Macaca mulatta: one gene and its partners. The protein of the gene in region 7 interacts with the protein of the main gene of each other region in a pairwise test. Links are inferred from orthologs where the notes say so. Each region holds a gene or a part of one and is shown on either strand. Other genes may lie near its edges.

The links.
Region 1: the proteins of MRPL11 (region 7) and CAMK2D interact in binary tests that used the Homo sapiens proteins (3 or more experiments, as listed by UniProt). The two-hybrid records come from large-scale screens. The link is inferred for Macaca mulatta from reciprocal best matches to the Homo sapiens genes MRPL11 and CAMK2D.
Region 2: the proteins of MRPL11 (region 7) and THAP1 interact in binary tests that used the Homo sapiens proteins (3 or more experiments, as listed by UniProt). The two-hybrid records come from large-scale screens. The link is inferred for Macaca mulatta from reciprocal best matches to the Homo sapiens genes MRPL11 and THAP1.
Region 3: the proteins of MRPL11 (region 7) and TAX1BP1 interact in binary tests that used the Homo sapiens proteins (3 or more experiments, as listed by UniProt). The two-hybrid records come from large-scale screens. The link is inferred for Macaca mulatta from reciprocal best matches to the Homo sapiens genes MRPL11 and TAX1BP1.
Region 4: the proteins of MRPL11 (region 7) and PNMA1 interact in binary tests that used the Homo sapiens proteins (3 or more experiments, as listed by UniProt). The two-hybrid records come from large-scale screens. The link is inferred for Macaca mulatta from reciprocal best matches to the Homo sapiens genes MRPL11 and PNMA1.
Region 5: the proteins of MRPL11 (region 7) and HOMEZ interact in binary tests that used the Homo sapiens proteins (3 or more experiments, as listed by UniProt). The two-hybrid records come from large-scale screens. The link is inferred for Macaca mulatta from reciprocal best matches to the Homo sapiens genes MRPL11 and HOMEZ.
Region 6: the proteins of MRPL11 (region 7) and FSD2 interact in binary tests that used the Homo sapiens proteins (3 or more experiments, as listed by UniProt). The two-hybrid records come from large-scale screens. The link is inferred for Macaca mulatta from reciprocal best matches to the Homo sapiens genes MRPL11 and FSD2.

What each region holds. Positions count from the first base shown.
Region 1 is NC_133410.1:122,779,525-122,783,028, forward strand, and holds part of CAMK2D (calcium/calmodulin-dependent protein kinase type II subunit delta), read right to left. Parts: intron 3,098-3,504; coding exon 3,003-3,097; intron 638-3,002; coding exon 515-637; intron 1-514. UniProt on the Homo sapiens protein: Calcium/calmodulin-dependent protein kinase involved in the regulation of Ca(2+) homeostatis and excitation-contraction coupling (ECC) in heart by targeting ion channels, transporters and accessory proteins involved in Ca(2+) influx into the myocyte, Ca(2+) release from the sarcoplasmic reticulum (SR), SR Ca(2+) uptake and Na(+) and K(+) channel transport.
Region 2 is NC_133413.1:44,941,712-44,945,937, forward strand, and holds the start of THAP1 (THAP domain-containing protein 1), read right to left. Parts: upstream 2,802-4,226; 5' UTR 2,582-2,801; coding exon 2,511-2,581; intron 2,385-2,510; exon of another isoform or gene 2,231-2,384; coding exon of another isoform or gene 2,181-2,230; intron 1-2,180. UniProt on the Homo sapiens protein: DNA-binding transcription regulator that regulates endothelial cell proliferation and G1/S cell-cycle progression.
Region 3 is NC_133408.1:100,601,378-100,605,378, reverse strand, and holds the start of TAX1BP1 (tax1-binding protein 1), read left to right. Parts: upstream 1-1,201; 5' UTR 1,202-1,346; intron 1,347-4,001.
Region 4 is NC_133412.1:146,883,641-146,887,584, forward strand, and holds PNMA1 (paraneoplastic antigen Ma1), read right to left. Parts: upstream 2,803-3,944; 5' UTR 2,000-2,802; coding exon 938-1,999; 3' UTR 132-937; downstream 1-131.
Region 5 is NC_133412.1:96,383,180-96,387,273, forward strand, and holds the start of HOMEZ (homeobox and leucine zipper protein Homez), read right to left. Parts: upstream 2,801-4,094; 5' UTR 2,620-2,800; coding exon 2,580-2,619; exon of another isoform or gene 2,412-2,579; intron 2,284-2,411; exon of another isoform or gene 474-2,283; intron 1-473. UniProt on the Homo sapiens protein: May function as a transcriptional regulator.
Region 6 is NC_133412.1:73,933,471-73,937,571, reverse strand, and holds the start of FSD2 (fibronectin type III and SPRY domain-containing protein 2), read right to left. Parts: upstream 2,804-4,101; 5' UTR 2,534-2,803; coding exon of another isoform or gene 1,922-2,533; 5' UTR 1,685-1,921; intron 1,353-1,684; exon of another isoform or gene 44-1,352; intron 1-43. Other genes in the region: WHAMM (WASP homolog-associated protein with actin, membranes and microtubules), read left to right, coding at 1,922-2,533.
Region 7 is NC_133419.1:7,982,748-7,986,844, reverse strand, and holds the start of MRPL11 (large ribosomal subunit protein uL11m), read right to left. Parts: upstream 2,802-4,097; 5' UTR 2,717-2,801; coding exon 2,594-2,716; intron 2,222-2,593; coding exon 2,126-2,221; intron 1,406-2,125; coding exon 1,312-1,405; intron 1,228-1,311; coding exon 1,068-1,227; intron 874-1,067; coding exon of another isoform or gene 756-873; exon of another isoform or gene 741-755; intron 81-740; coding exon 1-80.

The DNA of each region.
Region 1 (3,504 bases), on a different chromosome or scaffold from region 7:
ACACATTCAGAAATTTACTGAAGTCTTCAGATTCCCCTCAAATTTCACACTATTTTTCTTAATATTTCTAAAAAATATTCAGACTACTATGACCATTCTTTTATGCCACTAAAACTCTACTCTCAGCTGCCAAACTTCATACTTGCTTCTAAAGTTGCCTAATGACAAATAATTGAACTTTGTTAAATCTTTTCTTCTGGGATACATTTAATTTTGGTGTTATTTTCTTGACCTTGTTCACGAGTATTGTCAATAATTGATACGAAGAATACTCATTCCTTTTGTTACTGCAAGCAATATTTGTTTAATAATCTATGCAATTCAGACTTTGCTACTGAAAATTGCATTTCTTCGCCATCATAAAATTCATTTTCTTAAACACCTTGAGTCAAAAATTCATTCATTCTGAATTTCATCTTTTTTTTGCAAAGTTATTTTAAATCCATAAACAATATATTAAAGGACAGCTTATTTTTCATTTTAGCTCTTGAAGTTTTTGAGAAGTTTTACTTACACAGATCCATGGGTGCTTCAGTGCCTCTGAGGCTGTGATACGTTTGGCAGGGTTGATAGTAAGCATTTTATTGATGAGGTCTTTGGCTTCAGGAGTTACCGTGTCCCATTCCGGTGATGGAAACTTCAAAAATATAAATTTATAAAAAGTTTAAAAAATAGACACACTCAATCAAACAGGGAAGAGTCAACTATATGAATCATTTCCTCAAGTAGTGAATTTCTTCATAAATTTACTTTTTATATAAGTTAAATTGTATCTAAAATAAATAAAATCATTTAGATCTATTCTCCCCCTCTATGTAGACAACTATATATATTAAAGAGTATCTGATAAGGGACCAACATATATACTGAGCTGCATATCACATATGGTAAATACATTTTAAAATTCAGAAAAAAAGAACTTAAGAATCTTCTATTCTCAAAGTATCTCTGCTTTGATCTGAACATGAAATTTTATACATCTTTCTCATAATTATTTGCAAAACTTAATAAAAGCAAAGAGGTTGCTACATGTACCAATGCCATCGTAATATTATGCCAAGGTTCAAAATGAGGTATTATATACTTTCACAACTTATAAGCAGTAATAGCAGAGGTAATAAAACAGCTTCAATTCCTGTGCCAAAACTGACCTATTAATCATGGCTACTTGGAGTGCTGTAGTGAGAAGAATCTGAGGCTATAGGAGCTTCAGCAAGATTTCATTTTAACCCTTCAAGAAGTTTAATCTGCCCAATTACAAATTTCACCAAAGTATATGAAAGTAATCAAATCTTATAACTTCCCATTATTAATATTTTTTTACAATAAGACTATATAAGAAAGCTACTTCTCCTCTCTTCATGTTATTTTTTTGTACTGATAATAAATTACTTTTATATCATTAGCATGTTTAGTAGAAATACTGTCCTTCAATGATTAAGGGAAATTTATACTACATTAGTTGCAAAATGATAGAATATCAAGTTATTTTCCCAATTCATGAATTTGTGTAGACAATCTTGAAAAATAAAGCCATTGTCACTGTGTCAATGGAATTAGTCTATTTTTGGTAGTTTTAAAATGGGGAACTTGTGACTCATTGGCAAAATAAAGCACGAGAAAAATGATATTGACTCTAATACCTGTAATTTCTTGCCAGCTTAACAATTGTCATTTTTTAATTCCTGAAGCTTATGTTTGGCAGTTGTGAAAGCTTGCTAACTGTTAGGAGCTACTAAAGAAACATGCAAGGCTATTTCTTAAATGTTGTACAGGTCTTTTGATAGCAAATGAGGGGTAGGTTCGGCATGAAGAAAGGTGAACCTTTTCCTCAGTTTTCTAATTTTCATGAAAGCACTCCTCCGGTATACCAAGCAGTGCATTTTCAGGGCTACGTCTGCCCAGAAAGGGGCTGGTTCTAGTCTGTAAAGATGGTGAATGTGCTAGCTGTTGCCATGTAAATAATAATTTGTTTCAATTACTAGTCTAGGGATAATGGAATGCTTCGAAATTCAAAGAATATACATTTTAAATTCTTGCTAACTGAAACACACATCCATCTAAATAGAAAATTTTATCAGAAATGCACTGAAGAGTTCATGAGACATGATAGAATACAATACAGACATTTTATATTTTCTCCTCTCACTTTCACATAAAGCTTTCAACTTGTGCACAAAAGGTGAACCCAATATTGCTACTCCATAGTTACTCCACTTAATGACACATGGAAAGCATGCCCAGATCCTGCACATGGATTTCCCTAGGGCTGTATGAGAGGAAACCAGAGAAAGTGGTAAATCATATTTACAAGAATACATATCAAAGGAGAGCAAATTATATCATAAACACAAAGTTAAGCCATAAAGAGAAAGTAGATAAAGACTTCCTCTTCAGATTCTGAACTTAATTTATGAATATGTATATATATATACTTTCAAATATTCTAATTAAAAATTAAATATATTAGAATTATGATTTTCAAATTTTTCAATTGTGAAACTCATTCTTCAAATGAAAGCTTGCATAGCATCCCATTAGGTAAACAATACAAAAACAAAAAACAAAACCCAGAAACTGGTATAGTGGAATAATGTTCTATTTGATATGTGATCACTGCAAAATATTGTTGGTATATAATGTAAAATTATGTGATAGGTATTTGAGAATATAATTCAACTGAATGGGCAATAATCATTTTTGTAGCAGAAATATTTTAATTTTTATGTTTTTAAAATGCACTAAGATCCAAACATTTTGACAAAGTTCTTCCTCAGAGACTTCACATGACTTTTCTTTTTATCTTAGGAGAGAGTGAGTTAAAAGGAAACATAAGCTGAACACATATGCTGCATTTCTTTTTCCCTTTCCTTAAGAGAGAGGGAAATAATAAGAGAAAGTGGTAAAAATTATAGTTAAAAGAAAAATGAAAAGATCTGGCTCTTGATCAGCAAGCAAAAAACAAACCTTCATCTAAAGTGATATAAATAGTTATTACATACATCATAAGCTCCAGCCTTGATCTGCTGATAGAGTCTGTGTTGGTCTTCATCCCAGAAGGGTGGATACCCCACAAGTAGAATATAGAGAATGACACCTGGAGAGATTACAGTATTAACATTATTTAAGTCATATAGAAAACAATAAATTAAATGTGGCTGATCCACAATGATATTAAGCTGTAGTTGTTAAAACAGAGAAAACTGGATTGTAGGAAAACTTCAGAGAGACGTGTTATGGTCTATTCTAGAGCAGTCTCTGGAAGGTTAATGCTTCTCCTCCTATGCTCCAGAACTCTGACAATGTGTCAGTCAATGCATGCTTCAAAGAATTCTAAAGAGGCATGGAAGGGAAACTCTAAAGATAAAACATATCTGTCATTTAGGGCGACATTCTTTGGCCTCCCTGAACTCTTGTTTATATAGAGTCTTCCTGCATTCTTACCTATATAGAGACTATGATTTTAGTCACTGTGAGGTTGAAGTTCAAAAACTAAGCATGTTA
Region 2 (4,226 bases), on a different chromosome or scaffold from region 7:
CTATGCAGACGGTGGGATAAGTGGTACTCCTAGAAAATCTCAGCTGGGGCTGGGCGTGGCCTGTAATCACAACTGTAATCCCAGCACTTTGGGAGGCCGAGACGGGCGGATCACGAGGTCAGGAGATCGAGACCATCCTGGCGAACACGGTGAAACCCCGTCTCTACTAAAAAATACAAAAAACTAGCCGGGCGAGGCGGCGGGCGCCTGTAGTCCCAGCTACTCGGGAGGCTGAGGCAGGAGAATGGCGTAAACCCGGGGGGCGGAGCTTGCAGTGAGCTGAGATCCGGCCACTGCACTCTAGCCCAGGCGACAGAGCCAGACTCCGTCTCAAAAAAAAAAAAAAAAAAAAAAAAATTAGCTGGGCGTGGTGTTGCGCGCCTGTAGTCCCAGCTACTCAGAAGGCTGAGGCGAATCGCTTGAACCGGGGAGGCAGAGGTTGCAGTGAGTCGAGATCGTGCCACTGCACTCCAGCCTGGTGACAGAGCAAGACTCCATCTCAAAAAGAGAAGAAGAAAATCTCAGCTGGAAATGGCCTCTATACGTATAAACTAGGGTGGCATTTGCTGGTAAAATTCCGTACCTATGGCCTCCTGGCTCTGTAAGCATAAACTATGGTAGCATTTGCTGCTAAAATTCAGTCAGTACCTAGGGCCTCCTGGCACAAGGACCACAAATTTACAGCTGTTTGTGAGATTCTGTTAAAATCTTTCCCATCTACTCTCCCTAAACCTGCTCTTTTAGATAAGGGATAAGATGCAGGTTAGCTCTTCTTTTGATTCAATCCGTATGTGTTTAACACCTAGCAGAAACAGTTATTTCTCTCTTTTTTTTTTTTTTTTGACATGGAGTCTGGCTCTGTTACCCAAGCTGGAGTGCAGGGCAAGATCTCAGCTCACTGCAACCTCCATATCCCAGGTTCAAGCGATTCCCCTACCTCAGCCTCCCAGGTAGCTAGGATTACAGGCGTACGCCTGTATTTTGTATTTTTAGTAGAGACGGGATTTTGCCATGTTGGCCAGGCTGGTCTTGAATCCTGACGTCAGGTGATCTGCCCACCTAGGCCTCCCTAAGTGCTGAGAATTACAGGCATGAGCCACTGTGCCTGGCCAAAAACACAGTTATTTCTGACGTGTGAATACCCTCCTTAAACTTGTTTCCAGTGCCAGTGAAACATTTTCCATAATTTTAGATTCCTTCTGCCATGCCATCAGAAATGTGGGTGGGGAGCTGCACATGTAATCCTGTTACCATCACCTGACCTTTTCCTACATTTCGAAAGAACATGTTTACAGAAATTCCAATTAAATTAAGAGACAATATTAGGATATCCTGAACTGAATCCTGTAAGTGTTCTACCCCCTTCGCCAAGGGGTAACATCATTACTCTGGAGACCTATGTTCTACACTCTCTTATTTCTATAGGGTCCATCTCACATGATATCAAACACTTAAAAAATGCATGGACACTCCCCTAGTAAACATAGATGGCTCCACACCAAAATAAAAAAATTGAAAGGATATTTAACATTTTGCTTTTGTAATTACCTAATTATAAAAGATAATTAGCTAATTACCTATGACTAATTTGTATAGTTTACCCCTGGATCTGATTTCTTAGCTATCATCTGCATATAGTTGTCAGGAATTCTTACAAAGAAAACTTAACATAAATGTAATTAAAATTTGTAAACAAATTCAGCTGAATGTTATGTCACATTTTACAAGCGTTTGATTATCATAAGTAATTGCAACTTTGCACTTTTTTTCCTATTTTCAAGAGAATATTTTTGATCCTAGCACTCTTAACTGTGCTACCTATTGGATAAGACAGCTCTGAAAGCTGTGGGGCAGTTTCTTTCGAAAGAGCTTCCTCTATGCACAGGTAATGCCGTAATAAATAAAGATCAGTGTGAGTCATTTTATTATGATCCATGTTGTAACTATCCATATTATCATTATTGTGTGCTGAAAAGATAACGATTTATCTTGGCAGTACCTGAAGCTTTCTTCAAAACTCAGGGTCCTTAAAGCTTAGTTCCTAGAGATTTGGGGCAAAAATTCTCCGGGATTTCCCAGCCAAAAAACCCTTAATTGCTACGATGCTGGCCTCCCATCCACGACAAGGGAAAGGCCTTTGTTTATATTTCAAATTTACCCCTAAGACGTTATTACAACACCTGGCTGCTCGTGACCCTGGTGGCGGCAAAACCCGCGCCACCATAGGCATCGCCCGCGGGCTCCAAACTCGTCAACCGAGGCCTGGAGCGAAGCCTGCAACGAGGACCTGTTCCGAGAGCGCAAGAAACAACCGCCGCGGAGACGCGCGCCGAGAACGCGCGATCGGGCGACGGTTCCCAGCAGGACGCGGCGGGAAACGCCTCGCGCGGCCGGCCCCAGACCCCACCCGCCCCTCGCGCGGACACGCGCCTGGCTCCGCCCCCGGCCCCGCCGGTCGCGCGCCCCCACCCTGGCTAAGACCGGCCCCGCGAGGCGCGCAGGGTCCTCACTTGTGGAAAGAAACGGGCTTGTCCTTGTCGTAGCGGTTCTTGCAGCCGTAGGCGGAGCAGGACTGCACCATCCTTCCGGTCTTCAGGCACTTCACTTCTGCCGCCGCAGAAGGCAGGGGAAGCTGCTTTCAGTGTCGCCGCGCTCGGTTGGACACCCTCGCTCTTTTGTAGCTTTGGCCAACAGTTACAGTAATGGTGGCCTCCCTCTGGGGTGACTAGTGTGCCCGTTTTGTTGTTTGCATTAGCAGAAGGACCACAGCCATCGCCCGTCTCCCATCTCCAAGATGGCGGAGGCAGCTTCAACCTCACCTCTCGCGAGGGGTGCGTCCCACTGTCTCTGATTAGCCCCGAGGTCAGAGGTAACGATTCCTGGGAAGCTAACTATTGGCTGAGGCCAGGTGTTTCCGGCGGTGGCTTCAGAGTTGCGGAAGTGGGCGGAGCCCTGAACTTCCGGTAGGCAGGAAGGAACAGCTTGCGGGGGAGGAGGCGCGGCGGGAGGCTGGATTCCAGGGGCATCATCCAGCCCGGGCTGTTCCCGTGGGTTAATTGATGCGGAGCTTTTCTGGGGCGGCTTACAGTAGGAAACAACTAGGGCCTCATGGAGAACAGGTGTAAAGCCGAGGTCGTTGTCTGATTGCGCCCATTTCTCTAAAAGGGCGGACACAGATGGTGTATGATTAATAAAATTGTGGAACCTTTTCCCAGAATGCTGATCTTTTTCCCATTACCTGTGTCTTCAGGCATCACAAGTCTCTGAGAGCCAACGTGACAGGTTTTTAGCAATGAAAAAAGACACACTCGCCAAATCATCTGAATTGCCAACGCAGAAGCATTATATATATGTATATATGTATGCATATATACGTGTGTGTGTATATATATATATGTAATTTTTTAAAAAAATAGAGGCAGGATCTCCCCACGTTGCCCAGGCCAGTCTAGAACTCGAGCTGAAGGGATCCACCTATCTCGACCTCCCAGTGGGTTGGGATTACGGGAGTTGAGCCACCAGGCCCTCCCTCCCCAGAAGCTTTTGTGAAGGGCTGTCCATTGCTGTGATTTCCATGTGCGGTGTTGCAAATAGGGAGCTGCTGCAGCAGTTTTCACATCTGAGAGAGAATATGTCAGAGGGGTTCGAAATAGAGCGACTCTGTGTTGAGTGAGGGCTAGGAAAATGAGGCTGGGACTTGCTGGGCTGCATTCCCGGAAAGTTAGGTGTTCCTAGCCTCTAGATGTATACCATTAAGGCAACAGATTGATAATGTTTACTAAACAGACCCAGACTTCGAAGTGTCCAGATATCTCGATATTTTGAGAACAGAAGCATTCCTAATTTTGCTTTAAAGATAATAATGGACTGGGCACAGTGCCTCACGCCTGTAATCCGAGCACTTTGGAAGGCTGAGGCGGGCGGATCACTTGAGGTCAGGAGTTTAAGACTAGCCTGGCTAACATGGTGAAACCCGTCTCTACTAAAAATACAAAAATTAACCGGGTGTGGTTGGCACATGCCTCGAATCTCAGCTACTCTGGAGGCTGAGGCAGGAGAATCGCTTGAATCTGGGAAGGCGGAGGTTGCAGTGAGCCGTGCTTGCACCACTGCACTCCAGCCTGGGCGACAAGAGTAAGACTCTGTCTCATAAATAAATAAAGATATCGATTCTTACATAATATAGTAATTAATCCTTTATCACAAACCCTTGTAGCACAGCACAT
Region 3 (4,001 bases), on a different chromosome or scaffold from region 7:
TGTGCTTATAAAGTTCACTGCTATGTTTACATTTCTTAAGGGACACAGTTATTTCTACTACCAGAAGGCTGCTACCAGTAACGCGAGTGATAACTTAAGTTGATTATTCACACCGTTTTCTTCATCCATAAAATAAGGAGACTGGGACTAAATGACCTGTTAAGGTTCTTCTGAAATTCTATGATCAAGTATACTACCCAGCACAAGATCAAGTTAAAAAATGTCAATACATAGGAAAGAAATCAGTCTGTAAATACTGAGAACCTGTATTATCAAAGCTAATGTCTTCTGAAATAACTGGAAGTAAAGATGAAAGTATATGAAAGATAATTTTGAATGTTCTGTATTTAGAATGTGCTTCAACATTTAACGCGATCTAATTTACGTACCTTTCAGGTGCTATTGCAAGTTTTATCAGGGTTTTATGGCAACAGACGAATATGATGAATTCGAATGGGACACACTGGCTTCTGTGAAGTTAGGATTCAAACTGAATGTCTAATATAGGAAGGCAATACATACAAAAGGCAAAAGTGATTTTAGAAATAACAGAACGCGGGACAAAATTCACACACGGAAAATGATATGGCTAACAAAAGCCGGTAACTCACAAAAATGCGGGTAGAAAAGAGGCCTCTCTGCTGGAGCGAGAACAAATAGAATCAGACGGCATTAGAACTGAAAGGCTCCTAGGAGCTTTCAGTGAACAAAACTTCGTAGTCAAAAAAGCACAGGACTGGGCCAGGAGTTGAGAGACAATCCTGGAGTTTAGGTGTTTGCAGCCCTAGCCGTGTGGTAACTCCCTTGCTTCTCTGGCTATTTCCTTATCTATAAAATCGGTGGGTTAGTTTAGGCCGACTGAGACGCAGGCAGGGACACGGTACTGTTCATGGACCTCTGAGCTGCCCTTTCCACATCGCGGTTGAGTTACTTAAATCTCTGGTGTGTTTCCCCATTTCGTATGTCAAAATAATAACATACAATCAGAATGTAAATCCAGACGCATTGTTTTTCTGCGATTAACTTGCTGAGCGAAAATGGCAAAGACGAACGAAGGAGAGAACCATTCGGCCTGCGAGAGGAGGCACGCCTGGGTCCAGCTTCGCGTCCCGCGGCGCAGTAGGCTGGGGGCGTGTCGTCGCGGAGCGGCGGGGCGAACCCTCCAGGAGGCGGAAGAGACCGCCCCGTGGGCGGAAGTGACGCAAGGCCTACTGTCGGCTGTGAGGGTAGGTGTAGCCGGTCTTTGGGGGTAGGCGGTGGTGGCGGAAGAGGTTCAGCGGCTGATGGCGGATCAGGATCGGAAGCCTGTGTAACTTTCTCCCTTGGTCCGGGAGTCTTTCCACTGGGTAAGGCGCCTCCCCGGTCCACCCCAGCACCTTGTGCGGGTCGGACCCCAGCTGCATCTCTTTTAGGGCTCGTGCTACACCCCTCTGCCCCTGTACTGTAGGGGCCTGGCCGGTCTCGGGAGAGGTCTCAGTGGTGACGAGGCTTTCCTTCCCGAGAACAAACCTTCCCTTCCGGACTGCGATTGTGACGGGGGTGTGGGCGACTCGGATCAGCCGTAGAGTTTTGGAATAGCAACGGGTGGCCGCCCCACGCGGAGGGAGGCCCGCGGGACAGGTCTTCGCGATTTGGGGGAGGCGTGTGGGACGGGTGCCCTTTGGCTGGGGACGAGTGACGCTGGCGACCCCCGAAGGAAAAGCTTCTGGTGTCCAAGGCTCAACTCTGGGATGACTGTTTTGAGGTCCCTGTGGGTGTTACCGGCGCAGTAAGCTGAGAAAACACGTAGGTCGCGTCCGAGAAGGACGCTGGGGTTTGCCTCTGCGGAGAGAAACCCAGCTGTTTTGGTTTGAGTCGCCGGTGGCGAAGGGGGCGGAGACTCCCTGCGCCGCCTACTTTTGAGGGCCGCGGGCGGAGTTGGCTGTTCCGGCTGATCTCCTGCTTCACCTGGAATCCTTTCCCCACCCCGCCCCAACACACCCCGCAGGTTCGCGAGGTGTGAACTAGTCCCGACCGACCTGCATTCCTCGCTTAGAGAATCTGTGGCTAGAGTTTAGTGTGCGCGTGTACACCTTATTAGTAAAAAATAGAGCTTAGCATGCGTTTGTGTGGGTGTGTGTACACACCTTATTGGTAAAAGTTTTGTTGGACAACACTGGCATATGACTTTAGACGTACAGTGTTAGATTTCCGATTTCACACAGTGGTTATGAATTGCTATTATGTCAGGCTTTAGATGGGAAAATCTTAATTGTTCAACTGTCTGCATTCTGCTGATGTTAAAATTTCTACGTGCTGTGCACGAACAATTACTAGTTACAAGTTTGGTGCTTAATTCCAAAAGGATTTAAAGAGATCATTTGAATAGAAACTAAAAGTGGGTTGATTGTCCTCAGTGCTTTTCGGGTTTAGAGAAGGAGCTGAGGACAGCCTTTCTCCTTCGTTCTGTTCTTTTCAAGGGTAAACTTGAAGTATTGTTTGATGATGCCGACTTCTAATAAAGTTTTATTTATTTTTCAAGCTGTTCAACTTCAAAGAACATCTTACTGTATTTTTTGTTTTATAGCCATCACGTTCTTTTTTTTTTTTTTTCCTTGAGACGGAGTCTTGCTCTGTCTCCCAGGCTGGAGTGCAGTGGCACGATCTCGGCTCACTGCAACCTCCGCCTCCCAGGTTCAAGCGATTCTCCTGCCTCAGCCTCCTGGGTAGCTGCGATTACAGGCGCGCGCCACCACGCCCGGCTAATTTTTGTATTTTTAGTAGAGACGGGGTTTCTCCATGTTGGTTAGGCTAGGGTCGAACTCCTGACCTCCTGATCTGCCCGCCTCGGCCTCCCAAAGTGCTGGGATTACAGGCGTGAGCCACTGCGACTGGCGCATCAAGTTCTTAAATTGTAGACCGCTGTTTGTAGTTCTCACTGCAGCGATGTTTGTAGAATTAACCAGTAAATATCTTTTCCATAACAAAAGTAAAATTTTGGAATTCAGAGTTTCAACCTTTTTAATGATGTTGAAATAATTATGGAAGATCCTAACGATGCTCCTTGTATACTTCTTTTGGGGACTTTATTGTATTCTTTTGGAATGGATATGTAAAATCTGGGCTTTATGCATTTCTGTCTTTTTAAAGCTTATTTTGTCCCAAATAAACCTTCAGAAGAAGATAAAAATGTCCTCTCCCCTAATATATGTGGGCCAAGATCATAGCATTTTAGAAACCAACTTATAAAATCTAAGAAGTAAGTAAAAGTGGTGCGGGTGACACCTGAGCGGAATGTCTTGGCACTCAGGTGTAAAGGATTCTGGAACTAGGGATGCCTGCAATGGTGCAAGTTAATAGACTGGGGCCTTTGCTTTTGCCTCCTAGAAAAATTGCTGATTACATTTTTTTGGAAGCAGAGGTCTGTTGATAGTTGTTAAGTTTTTCTTTCTTTGAGCCACAGTGTGAATAATTGGAAACTGTTTGAATGTTGGACATTTTTTGCTTTCATATGTTTGCGTGTCCTGTCGGACTGAAGTTTGGAGATAATTCTAAAGGTTTTTTAGCTGAGGATGTGAAAAACTTTCGGTAACTCTGTCAACCATTACCTGAATTATAACACTTCTAAAGATACAAACTGTTCATATTCTAAAATGCAGTGTTTCTGCTGCAGTAGGTCTTATGTGGAGTGTTACTAATCTGTTTCATTTCTTTATTTGCTTTGGTTTTCCTATTACGGAAATTTTCAAACATACACAAAGGAGAATGAACAGTAAAATGAACTGACACTTTACTAATCTTGTTTTATTACCCCTCTAACATTTATTTTTTTCCCCTGGAGTTTTTAAAGCAAATCTTAGACATCAAGACGTTTCATTTACAGTTAGTTTAGCATCTTTAACTGATAAGGACTTTAGAAAAACACAGAATTGCCATAATTATATTATCACACATAACAAAATTATTTTTGAATTCTAATTGTTAGGACTGGCAAATTATATTTAATATTTATCTAAATTAAA
Region 4 (3,944 bases), on a different chromosome or scaffold from region 7:
GCCATTTAAATTCACATAGTATCATACAAAGCTTAAGAGTAAAATAAATGGTTTAATGACAAAGTCTTCATAAGAAAAAAGGACAGAGTTTACTTAGGCTAAAAATGTTTATACATGCCAGAAAAATGAGAAGACAACAGAATTTTTAAAATATTTTAATTTGTATATATAACTTCAAATTTAGAACACTCAGTATGAACAAGAACTATTCTCTGACAAAGATCTGAAATGGGGAAGTGAATTACTGTACAGGTGCATATCAACCTCTCCATGCAATTTACATCTGTATCTTATGCAATGAGAAACTGGTTTACACAGCTCCGTAATTGCAGTATTTTTTTAACACCCCATTTTGCAGTCTCAGAATACTTTTCAATTAAACTGATCGACATGTTTAAAGATGAGAAATATGATGTTTGCATTGTAAAGTTGAGTAATAGCTAATAAATGCACATTTCCTTCCATCAATATAAATCTGGAACTATTTATGGTAAAGAAAAATCTATCTGCGCTATCAGTAATCTAATAGTTCATACTTTTACTGAACACTTCCTGTGAGCCAGGCCCCGTAGTAAACATCTGCACATGCAATTTCACATTCAGTGTGGAATAGGAAGTGTCAGAGGTTCGTGTGTTTTTCACAACTGATTATGATGTCCATGATGACAGCGTGCACTAAGCGCTGTGTCCAACCAACCCTTTACCTGGCACTTTAGCCAGCAAGACCCACTTGCATTGTAGCAGCTCACGGTGCTCGCTTGCACAATTTTAGAATGTTACATGAATACTCAGGCCTGACTAACCTTCCCCTCCAAAAAAACAACAAAACGGAACAGGGCTAAGCCTTTACTACTCAGAGACACATCTGTAAGACCCCCACAGGGACAAGAAAACTAGCTGTGATCTAGGTCTGCACTAAAGCTGTCTTTTCTGGCACTCAGAAGTGCCCTTCCAGGCCTAACTGCAGAAGGGTGGCCTCAGCCTCCTCCTCCTCCTCCTTGGCTTCCTCCTCACGGATCTGCACCAGCAACTGAAAGAGGTTTGGGGCCGGCCCTTCCCCAGCCCCGGTAAGCCACAGCTGCCTTCGGATGGCCCCGCTGTGGTTGGCCCCAGCAATGACCTGCTCTAGGCGGGCCTGGTTCACGTTATCTTTATCAATGGCCCCCTTCTCTACCACCTTCTGTAGCAGAGGCTCCAGACGAATGACATAAGCAGACAATTTTTCTCCCGGGTTCTGATAAGTGTTCAGAAATTTGATCTGGGCATCCCTAGAGCTCTCAACGCTCCCAAACACCTGCTCAAGCGCCTTCAGGCATTCGGCAGTGGTTATCGCGGGGTTGTTGGACTTGAGGATGCGAATGACATCAGCGGCAGGGCCTCTAAGGCTCTCCATCAACCGCCGCCTCTTTTCTACATCGGACACCTGCCACTCCTCTAGGACCTCATTAGTGTGCTCCAGCCAGGGATCAAAGGTTTCCTCTCCAGGCCCTGGGATGTCCCTCCCCGAGAAAAGTGTCAGCCTCTTGTACCATATGGACTCAACAAGAGGCTGAATAACATTATCCAAAATATAGTTTAGCATCTCTGCTGGCATCTCTGGGCCCGGGGTCGGAGTAGGGTTCTGAAACCCAAGGACACGGGCAACATCTTGCACGGTCCACCCCTCTCTAGCTAGGAAGAGGTGCAATCTTTCTAAAAATTCAGCATCAGAAGTTGGGGGCTTAAACAACACTTTCCAGACCCCTCCTTTGCCCGGCATCTCCCTGGGGATCGCGGCGTAATCGACAGCGCCAGTGAGCTCTAATAAGGCTGCTTTCGCATTTTCTTCCCTCCAGAACATTCTCCCAAGCATTCGGTAGGGGACCTGGGGCATCGCTGCCTGGAGGGTCTCTTCGATTTCAGCCTCATCACAGTTCACTGGGATGCCCCAGACCAACAGAGCTCTCTGGGAGTTCACATCCATCCCCCGGCACCAGTCTTCCAACAGTGTCATCGCCATTTTCTCAACTATCAAGACGCCAATTCTACCAACAGACTGTGGCTCACCGTACTCCTGGCCTTAGAACAATACCAGACACTCCCACCAAGTAGGCCCAAGGGAGGTAGGCTTCATGCATTCACGACTAACAAAGACACAGAGTCCTGATCTCGCCCTTCTCTGCCCCCCCAGTCAGTCCGTAGGTACACTTGGAGCTGAGCTCGGGGACGCTGAGGAAGTCACGCGGCCGTCGCCATCTTGCGTCTGGGTCCGGGTCCGGTCGGGTCTGCCGCTTGCAGCCGGGCTGTCGCGTCGTCGTGCAGCGGGCAAGGAGCGAGGGCGGGCGGCGAAGGCAGGCGCGCTGGGTCGAAAGCAGCCGGGGTGTGGTCGCGGGGCGTGCCCGCCGGGCGCTCGCTGCGGCTCCTGGAGAGGATCGGGCGTTCGCGGTCGCAGCCTGGTCTTCCCGCGGGCGAGGAGCGGCCGTTTGGGAGACTAGCCAGAGGGAGAGACTGTGCCGAAGTCGCGGCGGCTGCGGGCCAGCGGAGAGCGGCTTCTTGGAGGGCGTGGGGACTCCTCTTGGCGGGCGCGGGGACTCCTCTGGGCGGGCGGCGAGGACGGCCGAGGACCAGAAACGAAGGCAGCAGAGGAGCAGGAAAGCCGGAGAAGCGAGGCTGGAAACAGCACAGGCAAGGGTGGGCAGCGGCGGCCGCGGCGGCCTGCAGCGGCTCAGGCGCTGCGCGGCTGCCCCAGCGTCGAGTCCTACCCGCAACCCGCTGCGACGTTACTGCTGCAGTGGAGGATGGGGCCAGCCCGCGAGCGGCGTCAGCCCCGCCCCGTCCCGCCCCTGTGGCGGAGCCGCTCGGGCGTCGCCATGGCAACGGCGCCCCAGCTGGCGCGAATCACGCCTGCTCCGGCGGCCCGCGGGGGTCGAGCGGTTGCCATGGTGCCAGCGAGGGGCTCGGGCATTTGTTTCTCTGATGGCGCATTTCCTTTTTCATAATTTTCCATTTTAACAGCAAACAAATACTGCTAAGCACCGTGTTTTAAAAATAATAACCCAATCCTGGAGTGGATTTAAGATGATACTATTGGAAGTCATGGCATCCCTCATGGTGGACTTGTCTACTCGGGTTGCCCAGCCAGTCCACCCTGCACGTGAAAATACTCTCCTCAGAACCCTGGCTTCCCGTTACCCCTGACCACACTGTGCACCCTGCGTATTTTATCCCAATGAAGCCGGAGTGCGCCATTTTTTGTGTGAGATACTGAGTTTAGACTTTTTCTTGTCTAAACTTTTGTAAACATCTGTTTGTCTGTGTCTACTGAGTCATCTTTTAGCCAGGCAAACATTAGTGTTATTTTCCTTTTCCTGGCTGGCATCGACAATAGGCTGCTAAAAGAGAATCCTTATGGCTCAAAAATGTCGAGTAATCTCCCTGCAAGCAAGACAAGGCCCACTTACATCAACCCCAGATGGTGAAAATCCCGAGAGAACATAGCATTCAACTCTGAATTTTTAAAACCTTATTTAATAAAAGGTTTAAAGATACAGAAGAACATTCAAAAGTAAATAAGTTACATAGGTACATTACAATCACATCAGCAAGATTCTTTAGTGTATTAATTTTTTCTTATAAAAAGCACACAAAAAATAAAATCTTCAGTCTCTATCACAACTGTACAGCAAAAGAGGTAATATTTATATGTATGTACACTATTTTAATATGTAACAGTCTTTTTCAAAAAGGGTGCCACAGGCAGCAAACACACAAAAGGCAGTGTCTGATCATTTTTGTTTCAAAATAAAAGGAATATACTTATTTATATGCTATTAAAATATTTGTACAATAATTACAGACTGTCAAGGCTGTTCCTGTGCTCTGTCCCCTCCAACAAGGCCTTCAACTTAGAGACAAATGAGGAAAAAGTGAAACAGCTGCAAATTGTTAGAGGCAAATATTAACAT
Region 5 (4,094 bases), on a different chromosome or scaffold from region 7:
AGCCAAGATTGTGTCACTGCACTCCAGCCTGGCGACAGTGAGACTCTGTCTCAAAAAAAAAAAAAATTCTCACTCTCTCTCTGAGTCAGTATAACACCCTTCTTTCCCCTTGGGCTTTCCATATCCCTGGACAGATGGCAAACAAGAATGGACTGTCTTAAACTTCCAGTTTCTGTGTTTACACAGTCCTAGGAAAAAGAGGACTCTAGAACTTTAGGTTTGAACCTAGGCCTATCGTTAAATTAGGAGACAGTTAAAGTGGGAGGCGAGGCTGGGTATAGTGACTCACGCCTATAATCCCAGCACTTTGGGAGGCCGAGGCGGGAGGATCACTTGAGGTCAGGAGTTCGAGACCAGCCTGGTCAACACGGTGAAACCCGTCTCTATTAAAAATACAAAAATTAGCCAGGCATGGTGGCATGCGCATGTAGTCCCAGCTACTGGGAAAGCTGAGGCAGGAGAATCGCTTGAACCTGGGAGGCAGAGGTTGCAGTGAGCCATGATCACACCACTGTACTCCAGCCTGGGGGACAGAGTGAGACTCTGTCTCAAAAAATAAAAAATAAAAATAAATAAAGTGGGAAATGAGATATGATCCTGCAGAGTTCCCTAAATCTTTATTTAGAGGCAGTCTGAAGTACTCCTGAAATGTGTTTGGGGATACAGTTTTAAGGGCCTTAAAGATGTATAGTGATATTCAGCTTATATGCTTCTTAACTTTTTAGTTCATGAACCTCTGAGAATCAGACAAAAGTTACAGACCCTCAGAAAGTTATGACCAACCTTCCCGAAATAAACATTCACACTTACACAGTAAACTCAGGGCCTTTAGTGACTGCCAAGAAGCCAGGTTAAGGATTACTGCCTTATATCCTTCCAACTTAACAAAGGCAATAGTGGTAATCACTTAAAGATGAACAGTTTGATGTGAACGAATGTAAAGAGTTGATGGAATACTCAGGAATTCAAGTGCGTTTAGAAGGGACAAGGTAATTGTGATATTAGTTGGAAAGAGTGGAAGGGAAGGATGCTCACCTGGGCCAGGAGCCTGGCTTAACTGACCCACTGGATTACATGACCAATACCATGGTGCACTGGAAACTAAAGGCCAGTAGGCTACTACTAGTGCGCCAAAATCATCTGCTTCATTCAGTTGTCCTGTGTGCTGGGGCCAGTTTTGTGTGATTACAAACCTGCTTATGTCCACACTTTTTCAGTGTCTGTATAATAATGTAATTAAACCTCATGTAAACCTATGAAAAATCACTGCATTGAAAACTGTTCCTTCAGGAATACTGATTTTTAAAAAATTGGTCCTATGAAAACTAAGTCAAATGTTTTGGAGAGACATAACGCAAAGAAGAGTATGCATTTTAAAAATTGTTGAGTTGGGAGTGAGCAAGACAACTGTAAAAGATTGAGGGGTGGGACTTAATCTCAAAAGTACTCTGCACTCAAAAGCGTCTGAATTCTTAACTTCACTTTAAATAAAGCAAAACGGGAAATCAAAGATGATGAAAGTGCCTGAGTGGCTCTCATCTCAGACTGCACTGTAGAATTACCTGGGAAGCTTAAAAACCAGGCCACTCTCCTCCCCATTCAGATTCAATAGTCTGTACTGGGGTCCAGGCATCCACAGTTTTTTAAAAAGTTCTCAGGGTACAGCCAGGTTTGAGACTCCCTGTGTAGTTAACACTGGAAAGAGAATTGGGAACTCCGAACAGCAGTCTTAGACACAAGAACAGTCTCACCACTACATCAAAAGATTGGTGAAATGGACATACTTTTAATTATAATGTTCAAGATATGTATGCATTATCTTTAAAATTCCCAATCTGGTTTTTTCAATTACAACCATCTAACCTAATCATGTAATATAAAAGGGCTTCAAGTGTATGATGGGAAAGAGGCTCACATGACAAAAAAAAAAAAAATCTCCTGATCTGGGCCCACATTACCAAACAGGTCTCAGCTTGAGTCTTCTTTCACTTTAGGAGTCTCAGAATAGGACGCAACACTAGGAACCCCAGAGGACTCGGGTTCTCAGTTTCCTGGTTGGTTTTCTGAGTATGGCTGGGTACGGGAATCAGAGGGGCAGTTTCTTCTAAACCTTTCATTCCCAAAGGCCGCTGATCCCCCAGAAGCAAGGCCAGGTTCTGCACGTGTGTTGAGGTCGCCAGGAGGTAGCCATGGGGGTTGGGGGTTTGTGTGGCGTCGGGGGGGGCCTGGGAAGGAAATGTTTCTCCTATCCTCCATTTCACAGGCAGTCCAGAAGGCTCCGAACTGGGTCAGGGAACAAAAAGTTGTTGCACTTGGGACGATGAGCCCCATGAGGCAGGCGAATCTCAATCCTACTCTCGCCAAGGGCGCCCCAACCCAACCTTCTTGCCCTCCCCTACACAGACACTTACCCTCCCCTAGTTACAACAGGGAACCGAAAAGTCCAGAGGAGAAAAAAGAGAGAACCGAGCCACTTCGAACCTAGAATTCTCCCCCCACCAGCGCGGGGATGGGACTCCAGAGGTGGGAGACCGTACACGAGCTGGGAGGGGAAGTCCAAGGGGCTGGGGATCACTCACCGCGGTCCAGCCCGGGCGGCGGCTCCCAGCCTCGCACCATGGGCCGGGGGGAAGTGGGGGAGAGGGCAGGGGGCCTCCGAGTGGGAGTGGGGTTGCTGCCCGGTGCGGCCGCTCCGAGCCCACCCGAGCGATGGCCGAAACCGGGACTGCCCCCCCACACCGCCCCCGGGAGTGCGCCGGTCTACCCAGCCCTGCTCGAGCAAGTTGGAGGCGGGGCGGATGGGTGGGGTGGGCGTCCAGAGGCGGTGCCAAGGTGGCCCGAGTCCTGATTGGTGGGCGCAGGCGGGCGGGCACGGGCGAAGTGCACTGGGCTGGCCATTGGCTGCTTGGGTCTCGGCTGAAGTCGGCTATTGGCTGCGTGGGCCTCAGCTGGGGTCATCTATTGGATGCGTGGGGCAGGGAAGATGTCCCCTGGGGCCAAGCTGCGGTGCCTGGTACCTCCCCCTACCCTCGACCTATGGGCGCTGGACCTTTGGAGTACCCCGGGCCAGGATCCTTCCGAAATTCCCCAAGGAGGGACACTGCACTTTGCCGAACTGTCTGGACCGCCAACAACTCCCAATTTGTTTCCTTCTGAAGGAAGCCCTCCAGGAAGACCTTTTCAGTGCCCCCTCCCGAGCCATACACACGAGCTGCGCCTTTCCCAGCCGAGAGCCCAACCGCCACCAGCAGCGTCAGCAGTAACAAAGCGCCTAAAGCAACCGGGAACTTGTTCTCGAGATGGATCAGATGTCTTGCCACCCGGAAAGACGAGGACCTTAGGAGCCTGCGGGCGACTTAGGCCGTTCCCTGGGTCAAACTGGCACCAGACCGATGTTCCCAAAGATGAAGTGCTGGAGCAGTCACCTCACTGGGACCTACCAGACCCTCCGGCTCCCCTCCTTGCCCTAGAAAAGAGGACCCGGAGTTCTGCATAGTATTTGTTTTTCACTAGCTAGAAAGGGATGAAGACTGAGGTGGGAGAATAACTTGATTCCAAGAGTTCGAGGCCAGTCTGGGCAACATAGTGAGACCTTGCCTCAAAAAAAATTTTTTTTAACTTACAAAAAGAAAGGGATGACAATAAAACGGACTTCACCAAAGCAGTATCCCACACAGTATGAAGTTATAGGCCAAAATTTGTATTTTAGGATTCCCCATCTTCTGTGAGACAAAGTAACAAATGTAAGAAGCCAGACTTGCTCAATTCTGCTTGGCAACATAATTTCACAAAGCCTCTGACTCTGAAGTCTCTGGGAAGACCCTTTGAAGACAAAAGAGGATAGGGCACACAGTCAACCATGTCTCTTGCCTGAGTCACTATATTCCCTAAAAGATAAACGGGCTGGGAGCGGTGGCTCACAAACCTAATCCCAATGCTTTGGGAGGTCAAAGAGGGAGGATTGCTTGAGGCCAGGATCCAAGACCAGCGAGGCAACATAGCGAGTCCCTGTCTCTGCAGAAAAATTTAAAAATTAGCTGGACTTGGTGGCGTGCACTTGTAGTCCCAGCTACTCAGGAGGCTGAAGCAGGAGG
Region 6 (4,101 bases), on a different chromosome or scaffold from region 7:
CTTTCTTTCTTTCTTTCTTTCTTTCTTTTTTTTTTTGAGACAGAGTCTCACTGTTTCACCCAGGCTGGAATGCTGTGGTGCAATCTCAGCTCACTGTAACCTCTGCCTCCTGGATTCAAGCAATTCTCATGCCTCAGCCTCCTGAGTAGTTGGGATTATAGTGCATGCACCACCATACCTGGCTAACATTTTTTTTTTTTTTTTTTTGTATTTTAAGTAGAGACGGGGTTTGGCCATGTTGGCCAGGCTGGTCTCAAACTCCTGACTTCAAGTGATCCACCCACCTCGGCCTCTAAAAGTGCTGGGATTACAGGTGTGAGCCACTGCACCCAGCCACCCACGACACTTTATAATGAGAAAGACTGACAATTTCCTCTTGAAAAACCAAATAGATTAGAAAACTAATAGAAATGATAACACAGTATAAAACAGATAGTAAAAAGATACAATGTGAGGAATATACAAGAAAGATATTTAAAACAGACTGTTAAAAATCATAAGTAAATCATATTAGTTAAAACAGTATATTAAAAGTAGGGGAAAATCAATCACTTCAGCTAAAAGGTTATCTCTCCAAGAAGACTGAGTGACTGTGTCCCAGGGCCCAATCCCCAACCCTCACACTTGCAGCAGGCATAAAAGGGGAAGGACCTTCAGACAAAGGCACCTTTCCACCTTCAAGCTGCATTCCACAGAGGTTCCTAGATTTCTTGAGGTCATTTTCAAGGCAGAGAGATGTCCTAACTAGAGCTTTAGCTTGGCCCTGATTTTTTTGTTTGCTTATTGTTTACCCTTGGGGACAACAGCAAGTACAAAATCTGATTCCAGTTTTTCCCAGCTCAAAACCTTCACACACGCTTTCACTTGTTCCCGAATCAACACCTCACAGGCCTTGCTTTGGCAAAGGGCTCCTGATCCCAGCTTCCTGGCATCTGCCTCCTTTCCTCCCCCCATTACCACCACCTGTCTCAGTGCACTCCCAGGATGGGAGCGGACATGGACTGTATTTCTCAGTCTACACTGCACATTTCCTAGGCAGAGAGTAGGGCCGTCTTGGTCCTTGATGCAAGAACAGATCTAGCTCCACCCTGACATGTAAACTGGATTTCCTGGTATCTCCTTAAACAGGCCTTCAGTAGCCAGGTGGTCATGTCGAGCCCGAGTGTCGGTGTATCTTAAGTTTGTCTGGGCCTCTGTTTCCTTAACTCTAAAGTGAAGAGTTAGAACACAGATTGTATTTAAACACCCTGGTTGGGAGCTGCAGTGCCCTGAATTCCTCCTCTTACTCCACCCCCTCAATACCGACACACAGCCGACACTCAATAAAAGTTTGTTGAATTGACAAAAATAAATTTGTGGCTTCTTGCCCAGTACTTGGCACTTAGAGGCCCTCAATAAATGACTATCGAGTTTATGTTTCATCTCCCCAGCACATTTGTGACATTCTTGAGGGCGGGAACCATGTACTCAATAGGGCCCTGATGATAGAAAAGGAAATCAGCTTGGTCCCTGTTCTCAAGAAGTTCACAGTTTAGTGTGGGAGACTAAGACAACAAGTCGCCGATTCAACAGATATTTTTCCAACGTCCTTATGTATTGGGTGGAAAAGGTGAGGCAAGAGCTGTATTTCCCAGACTCCTGAATGGGTTGCGAGATGATTGACTCCTGAGGGACACCGTCTCACCTTTTCATTGGTTGTCGCTGGCCCTGTCGTCTATCACCCAACCAACCCCGAACACCTCTTGTAAGCCCCACCTCCGGGTCAGCCAATTAGAGGTGCCGGGGGCCAGGGCGCTGCTGGGTCACTGACGCGGTTTCGATTCCAGTGAAAAATGCTCGGGTTCGGACTGTCCCGTGACAGGCGGTGCGAGCAGGCCAGGCCCTCGCCCGCCGAGCCCTAGGACCGCTGCTGCCGACTGCCATGGAAGACGAGCAGCCCGACAGCTTAGAGGGCTGGGTGCCTGTCCGGGAGGGCCTCTTCGCCGAGCCCGAGAGGCACCGGCTGCGCTTCCTGGTGGCTTGGAACGAAGCGGAGGGCAAGTTCGCTGTGACTTGTCACGACCGCACCGCGCAGCAGCGACGGCGGCGCGAGGGGGCCCGGCTGGGGCCCGAGCCCGAGCCCAAGCCCGAGGCAGCCGTGTCCCCGCCCAGCTGGGCAGGCCTGCTCTCGGCCGCAGGGCTCCGCGGCGCGCACCGGCAGCTGGCGGCGCTGTGGCCGCCTCTGGAGCGCTGCTTCCCGCGGCTGCCGCCGGAGTTGGATGTGGGCGGCGGCGGCGGGGCCTGGGGTCTGGGGCTCGGGCTGTGGGCTTTGCTGTGGCCGGCGCGCGCGGACCCCGGCGAGGCGGCGCTGCAGGAGCTGTGCGGGCAGCTGGAGCGCTACCTGGGCGCGGCGGCCGACGGCTGCGGCGGCGCCACAGTGCGCGACGCGCTCTTCCCGGCTGAGGGCGGCGCGGCCGACTGCGAGAGCCCGTGCGAGTTCCGGGAGCGGGCCTTGCGCGCGCGGTGGGTCGAGGTGGACGCGCGGCTGCGCCAGGTAAGAGAGGCCGGGCCGCCGGCGTTCGTCCCCGCTTCCATGGCCTGGGACCCTGTGGGAGGCTCCCCCGGCGCCGAGAGCCCTGGCTGACGGCTGACGGGGAGGAGCCGGCGGGCGGAGAAGGCCGTGGGCTCCCCGGTGCCCTCACCTGCGCGGGACCGCTGCGGGAAACCGGCGGTAGCTCCGGGAGGGCCTGCAGAGAGGACAAGCGAAGTTAGAGCCTAGTGTACTTGCAGCTGGGAGCTGGGCTAGGCCCCCAACCTTTGCCCTGAAGATGCTGGCAGAGCAGGATGTTGCAACGGGAAATGCCAGAAATATGCAAGCAAAACTGAAAACAACCCATCCATGTAGGAAAGAATAACACGGACTAAATGTAAGCAATTCTAAGTCTGTGTATGAGGGAACGTCGCGAATGGGATAGAAGAAATGGCTTTTAGGAGATAGAGTGTTTTGTTTTAAGTAATATATACTTAGTCAAATGGAAAGCCAGCAGAAAGTGAACTTTATTCATCAGTTTGGAATAACCGCATTAGTGCCCTTTTAAGCTTGAAAGAGGTAGTTTGAGAGAGAGTAATTATTTGAGTGGTAAACCTACTGAACCTAAGGGGATGGGGAAGTACAAGTTCATAGAAGGGTTTAGGAGAAAATATGGCTTCTAAATCCACACTCACAGTTTACTAAGGAGAGTCAGGCTGGAGTCTCGGCTCACTGCTGTTATTAACCTGAATGGTTTTTTTCTGTGCATTCTTTTGAGGAAGGGGAGGTGAAGAGAAGAATTCAGCCTAAGCTAAATATAGAATAAGCTTTCTAAATTAAAATGATTTTATAAAAGGAGCTCGTTAGTGGGGTCATTTTTGTACTGTGGGTTTTATGTGTAAATATCTACACACCCACTTCTCATGTGTTGATTTCACTTTATGAGGAAGCCACAGGGGAGTTTCAGGCCAGTCAGCGTTTGATCTTCAACTTTATCATTTTCACCTTAGGATATGAGGTGAAAAATGGTATCATTTTGAATCAGACTTGTTTTTTACCCACTCGGTTTCTCACAGAGATAGGTGGTTTCTCCTTAAAATCGAACATTTATATGATGTATTTTACTGTAGTTACTATCAGAAAAGTTATAGTTTTCCCAAATTTAAGTTCACTCTGGGGTACTATAGCATGAATGTAGTTCATACTGTTGAGCTAGCTGTTCACATTAGTGTAGTTCACGTATTTATTTGGAACTTAAAAATGAGGGGTTGGGAGGGGAAGAAGCTTCAATTCAAAACATGTCCAAATATATAATTTTAATATTTATATTTAGAATAGAAAAGCAATTGATTCTAGAATTAGATCAATTGCTAGTATTGCTAGGATATATAAAATGAAGCTGAATGTTTTAACTCTGAAAGTTTTCTGAGTAGTCTAAGAAATAAGGCTGAAATGCATCACTTGCCTTAAGTTTACTTTTGCGTGTGTCTTAATTTTGTGCAGCGAGGCTTTCACTTAAAAAAAAATAATAATAATATTATTACCTGGATAAAAAACTACAGCTGAAAGTAGATCACTTTCTCCTTAAGCAG
Region 7 (4,097 bases):
CGGCCAAATCTGCCTCCTTCTGAGCAGCCAGGAAGATGGCTCGTTCCTTCTGGAAAGCTGCAAGTTCTTCTGAACTGAGGCTGCAAGTGAAGACAGACAGATGGTTGGCGCATGATGAGTCACCAGTGGGAGCTCACAGGACCCCATGTCTTGCAGGGGCTCAAAGGGGCCTCTGTCTCAGAGCCCAGCTTGCCTGGCCCTTTCTCCCTCCCTGACTTCCCAGCCTCTATACCTTTGCTTTCCAGGGACACCATCTCCCAACCCCCAAAACCCCTATCTTTTGTTCCCTTATTAAATCCCTACTCATCCTTTGAGGTGTCAGCCAGACCCCAGTCCAGATTAACTGGGGTACTCTGTGCCCCAAAATATGCTGTACAATGAAGTCACGGGGCTGAGCATGTATGTCTGTCCCAGGGCTGGGGTCAGATTTACCCATCTCCATGTTCCCAATAAAAGAAAAGATTTAAGAAAAGTCAAGTCTGTGTCTGCTCCATGCTTAATCCCACTCTTCTCGGGAAATAATCAATTGTCAGCCTTGACATGGGATGTGACACAGCAGCAAGAAGCCAGTAAAAGGTTGAGTGCTATCTCTGTTCCAGCCATTGTCTAGGCCAGACACTCTCCCACCCAACATCTTACTTCAATGAAACAATTCCTGAAGTCATCTGAAGCCCCATAACGGGGGTCTCCTGTTTGCCTCAGGAGCAAGCATGAACCTGACACAGCTCAAAAATCTTTCCCCACTGGTCCTTCCCTCAAACCATTCTCCACTCGCCTAGGTCTAGGACGACAGACCCGGGTGACACTGAACTTCTCCCACTTGGATCCTTCATGGAGAGCTTTCCATTTCTTAGAACATTTGCAGAACAACATCTAATACATAACAGGTGCCCAATAAGAGTATTCCAAATCAATGAATGTGGTCTCCCACACCCACCCTATCCTCTAGAATCTAGGGTCCCTTGACTTAAAAACTGACTTTCCCACTGCAATGGGCCCTCTCAGCTCTGCCCGAGTCCAGAGCTTTCTGGGCCCTCTCGTCACACTGCACCTGCCAGGACACTTACTCCTTCACCACACGAATGCCCAGAGAACGGGCAGATCCGATGATGGAGCGGACAACAGAGGACAGGGGTACGTCCTGCAGGGCGAATGCCTCATCCTGAGCTTTGATGCAGGCAATCTCATACACATGCTTCAAGGTCACCAGGCCTGCCACCTCTTTCCCTAGAAGGAAGGAACAAGTGGTTCTTCAGGTGTTACTGAGATTCTGGAGTCCCCAGAATCTCAGACGCCTACCCTGACCCTCACCTGTTTGCCGGGCCCCCTTTTCAATTCCAGCTGCTGCCTTCAAGAAGTAGGAAACAGTGGGCTGTCCAATCTTGATTTCAAATGTCCTGTCAGGCTTAACAGAAAAAAGAAATATGAGATTCTCTCTTCCTGCTGCCCCATCCCAGGGAACTTCTAATGTCCTGTCCCTGCTTCCTTCATCTCACTTTCCTATGGCATCCCTCAAAAAGACCACAGAATCACAAGAAAAAAATAAATCTGGGCCAGGCGCAGTGGCTCATGCCTGTAATCCCAGCACTTTGGGAGGAAAAGGTGGGTGGATCACCTGAGGACAGGAGTTCAAGACCAGCCTGACCAACATGGTGAAACCCCATCTCTACTAAAAATACAAAAAATTAGCAGACATGGTGGCAGGCGCCTGTAATCCCAGCTACTCAGGAAGCTGAGGCAGGAGAATTGCTTGAACCCGGGAGAAGGAGGTTGCAGTGAGCCGAGATAGTGCCATTGCACTCCAGCCTGGGCGACAAGGGCAAAACTCCATTTCAAAAAAAAAAAAAAAAAGAAAGAAAAAATAAATCTGCAACAAACAACCCTGTCCTCTCTATTCCTGCCCTAATTCTGCTCTGGAAGGCCCAGTGAAATGGAGGGGCAAAGGAGGAACTGCAACATGGCAAGATGGGGCTGGTTCAGAAAAAATATGGTCTAGTCCTAAATGGGGAAAGTGGAGCCCAGTAATAGGAAGTCAAGTCAGGAGCTGAGAAAACCCCAGATGACCAGCCCCAGGGATGAGGAAGAACAGAGGGAGAAAGAAACCAGGGATCGGTCCAGACTCCACCTTCACAAAAATCTTGGTAGGCAGAGGAATGCCTTCTTTGATGTCCTTTGTCCTCTCATTGAACTCCTTGCAAAATTGGTTGATGGAAACACCTCTCTGTGAGGGAAGCAGAGGGGGTTAGTGGTGGGAGGAGGGGACGGCTTCCTACCGCCCAGGAGGCGCCGTCCATTCCCTCCTTCGTCTTCACTTCTCTGTGTTCCTATCTCTACCCAGATTCAACTACCCCTTCGTGAGCCAGAAGATCTGTACGCATCTTCCCACGTTATCCTCATCACAGCACATTGGGAAGGGATGAGGAAGCCCAGGCGGAAGAGCCTTTGTAACCAGCACAAGGACGTAAAGCGTGTGAGAAGCAGAGCCGAGCTCTGAACCCAGGCCCCGGTAGTTCCAGAGCCAGCGCCGTCCATCCGCGTCCTAGCTTCCACCACCCTCGACAACCCCCACGTCGGGTTCCCAACACGGCCGCACCTGACCCAGCACTGGGCCTAGTGGGGGCCCGGGCATGGCCAGGCCTGCCCGCACGATGGTCCGGATCACACCGCCGACCTCGGGCTTCCTGAGGCCCCGGGTGGTCCGGCCGAGCTTCGACATGATGCGGGGCTGCTGGCTTCAGTTCACCTCAGGGCAGCAGCAAGAGCGAAGCTCTGGGCGCCACCATCTTGGCCCAGAGGTCAAGGGTCCTCACGTTAGGCTAGCGCAGGTGAGGCCAACAAACAGCAGCCTTGTTTCAGCCCTATTGCTCGCCAACTAGTAAAACAAGGAGGATAAGAGGAGGATAAAACACTTTTTAACTTGTCTTATGCAGATAAAGGAAGGTCCCGAATGGCCTCAGTACACAATTTCCCACAGGAGCGCGCACAGGCACTACCTCGGACAGCTAACCAGTAGGGTTGGACTTTGATACCCCATAGCATTGTGGGTATGGTAGTTTTAACTCCGTGTACAGGTCCGGCCTATTGCTACGCTCCAGGGCGCCATCTGCTGCACACGGTGATAATCCTAGGGTTTGAAATACACCTGGAGCTCCTGATTGGTAATGGGAGTCTCTCTCTCCTCTCTCTGTTCCTCACATGCTGTTGAAAGGCAGTACAGTTAAGAGTGTAGACCCTGAGCTGGGCGCGGTAGCTCACGCCTGTAATCCCAGCACTTTGGGAGGCCAAGGCGGGAGGATCGCTTGAGCCCAGGAGTTGGAGGTGGCAGTGAGCCAGGATCGCGCCACTGCTTGTGAACTTAATCAAGTTTCTTATGCTTTGTCTCCTCCCCAGTACAGCAGGTATTGTAATATGTAGCACCTACCTTTTAGGATTGCTGTGAGGACTAAGTTAGCAAAATGCTTAAAACAATGCCTGGCACCTAGTCAGCATGTGCTATTATTATCTGTACAATTAAGATAAAACCTGAGCTATTGTGAGGCTTAACAGACCCAGAACATTCGATGCATCATCTGTGACCAGTCAAATAAGCCAGCATCTTATTGTATCATGAGGAGAGCAAAAATCACCTGGCGACCTTTGAACAGGTCCTGGAGACTAAAACTCCTTACCTGAGGACTTTAAAAGTAATTAAACTACCCTAGTATCTAATGTTAGCATCTGGTTCCAGGACTCTTTTAAACTTAAAATGTATAAGCAACTAGAATTTCTATACACTCGGGAATGCCATGCCAAAACTCACTTTGCAACCCTTGCTGACATTAAGGCACCAGAATTACTATGAATGTAATCATTTATCATGACCTACGTGGCTAGTGTGGTCCAAATTGCCCTCAAGCTTCCTCTTTAAGGTCCATAAATACCCCCTAAGGAAAATCCACCAGCATGGTCAGTTCTTTCTTGCTGAGGCATCCCTCTGCACTCCTCTGCAGCGTTCTTTCTTTCTAATAAAACTTTCCAGCCGGGCACGATGGCTCACACATGTAATCCCAGCACTTTGGGAGGCCAAGGCGGGCAGACCACCTGAGGTCGGGAGTTCA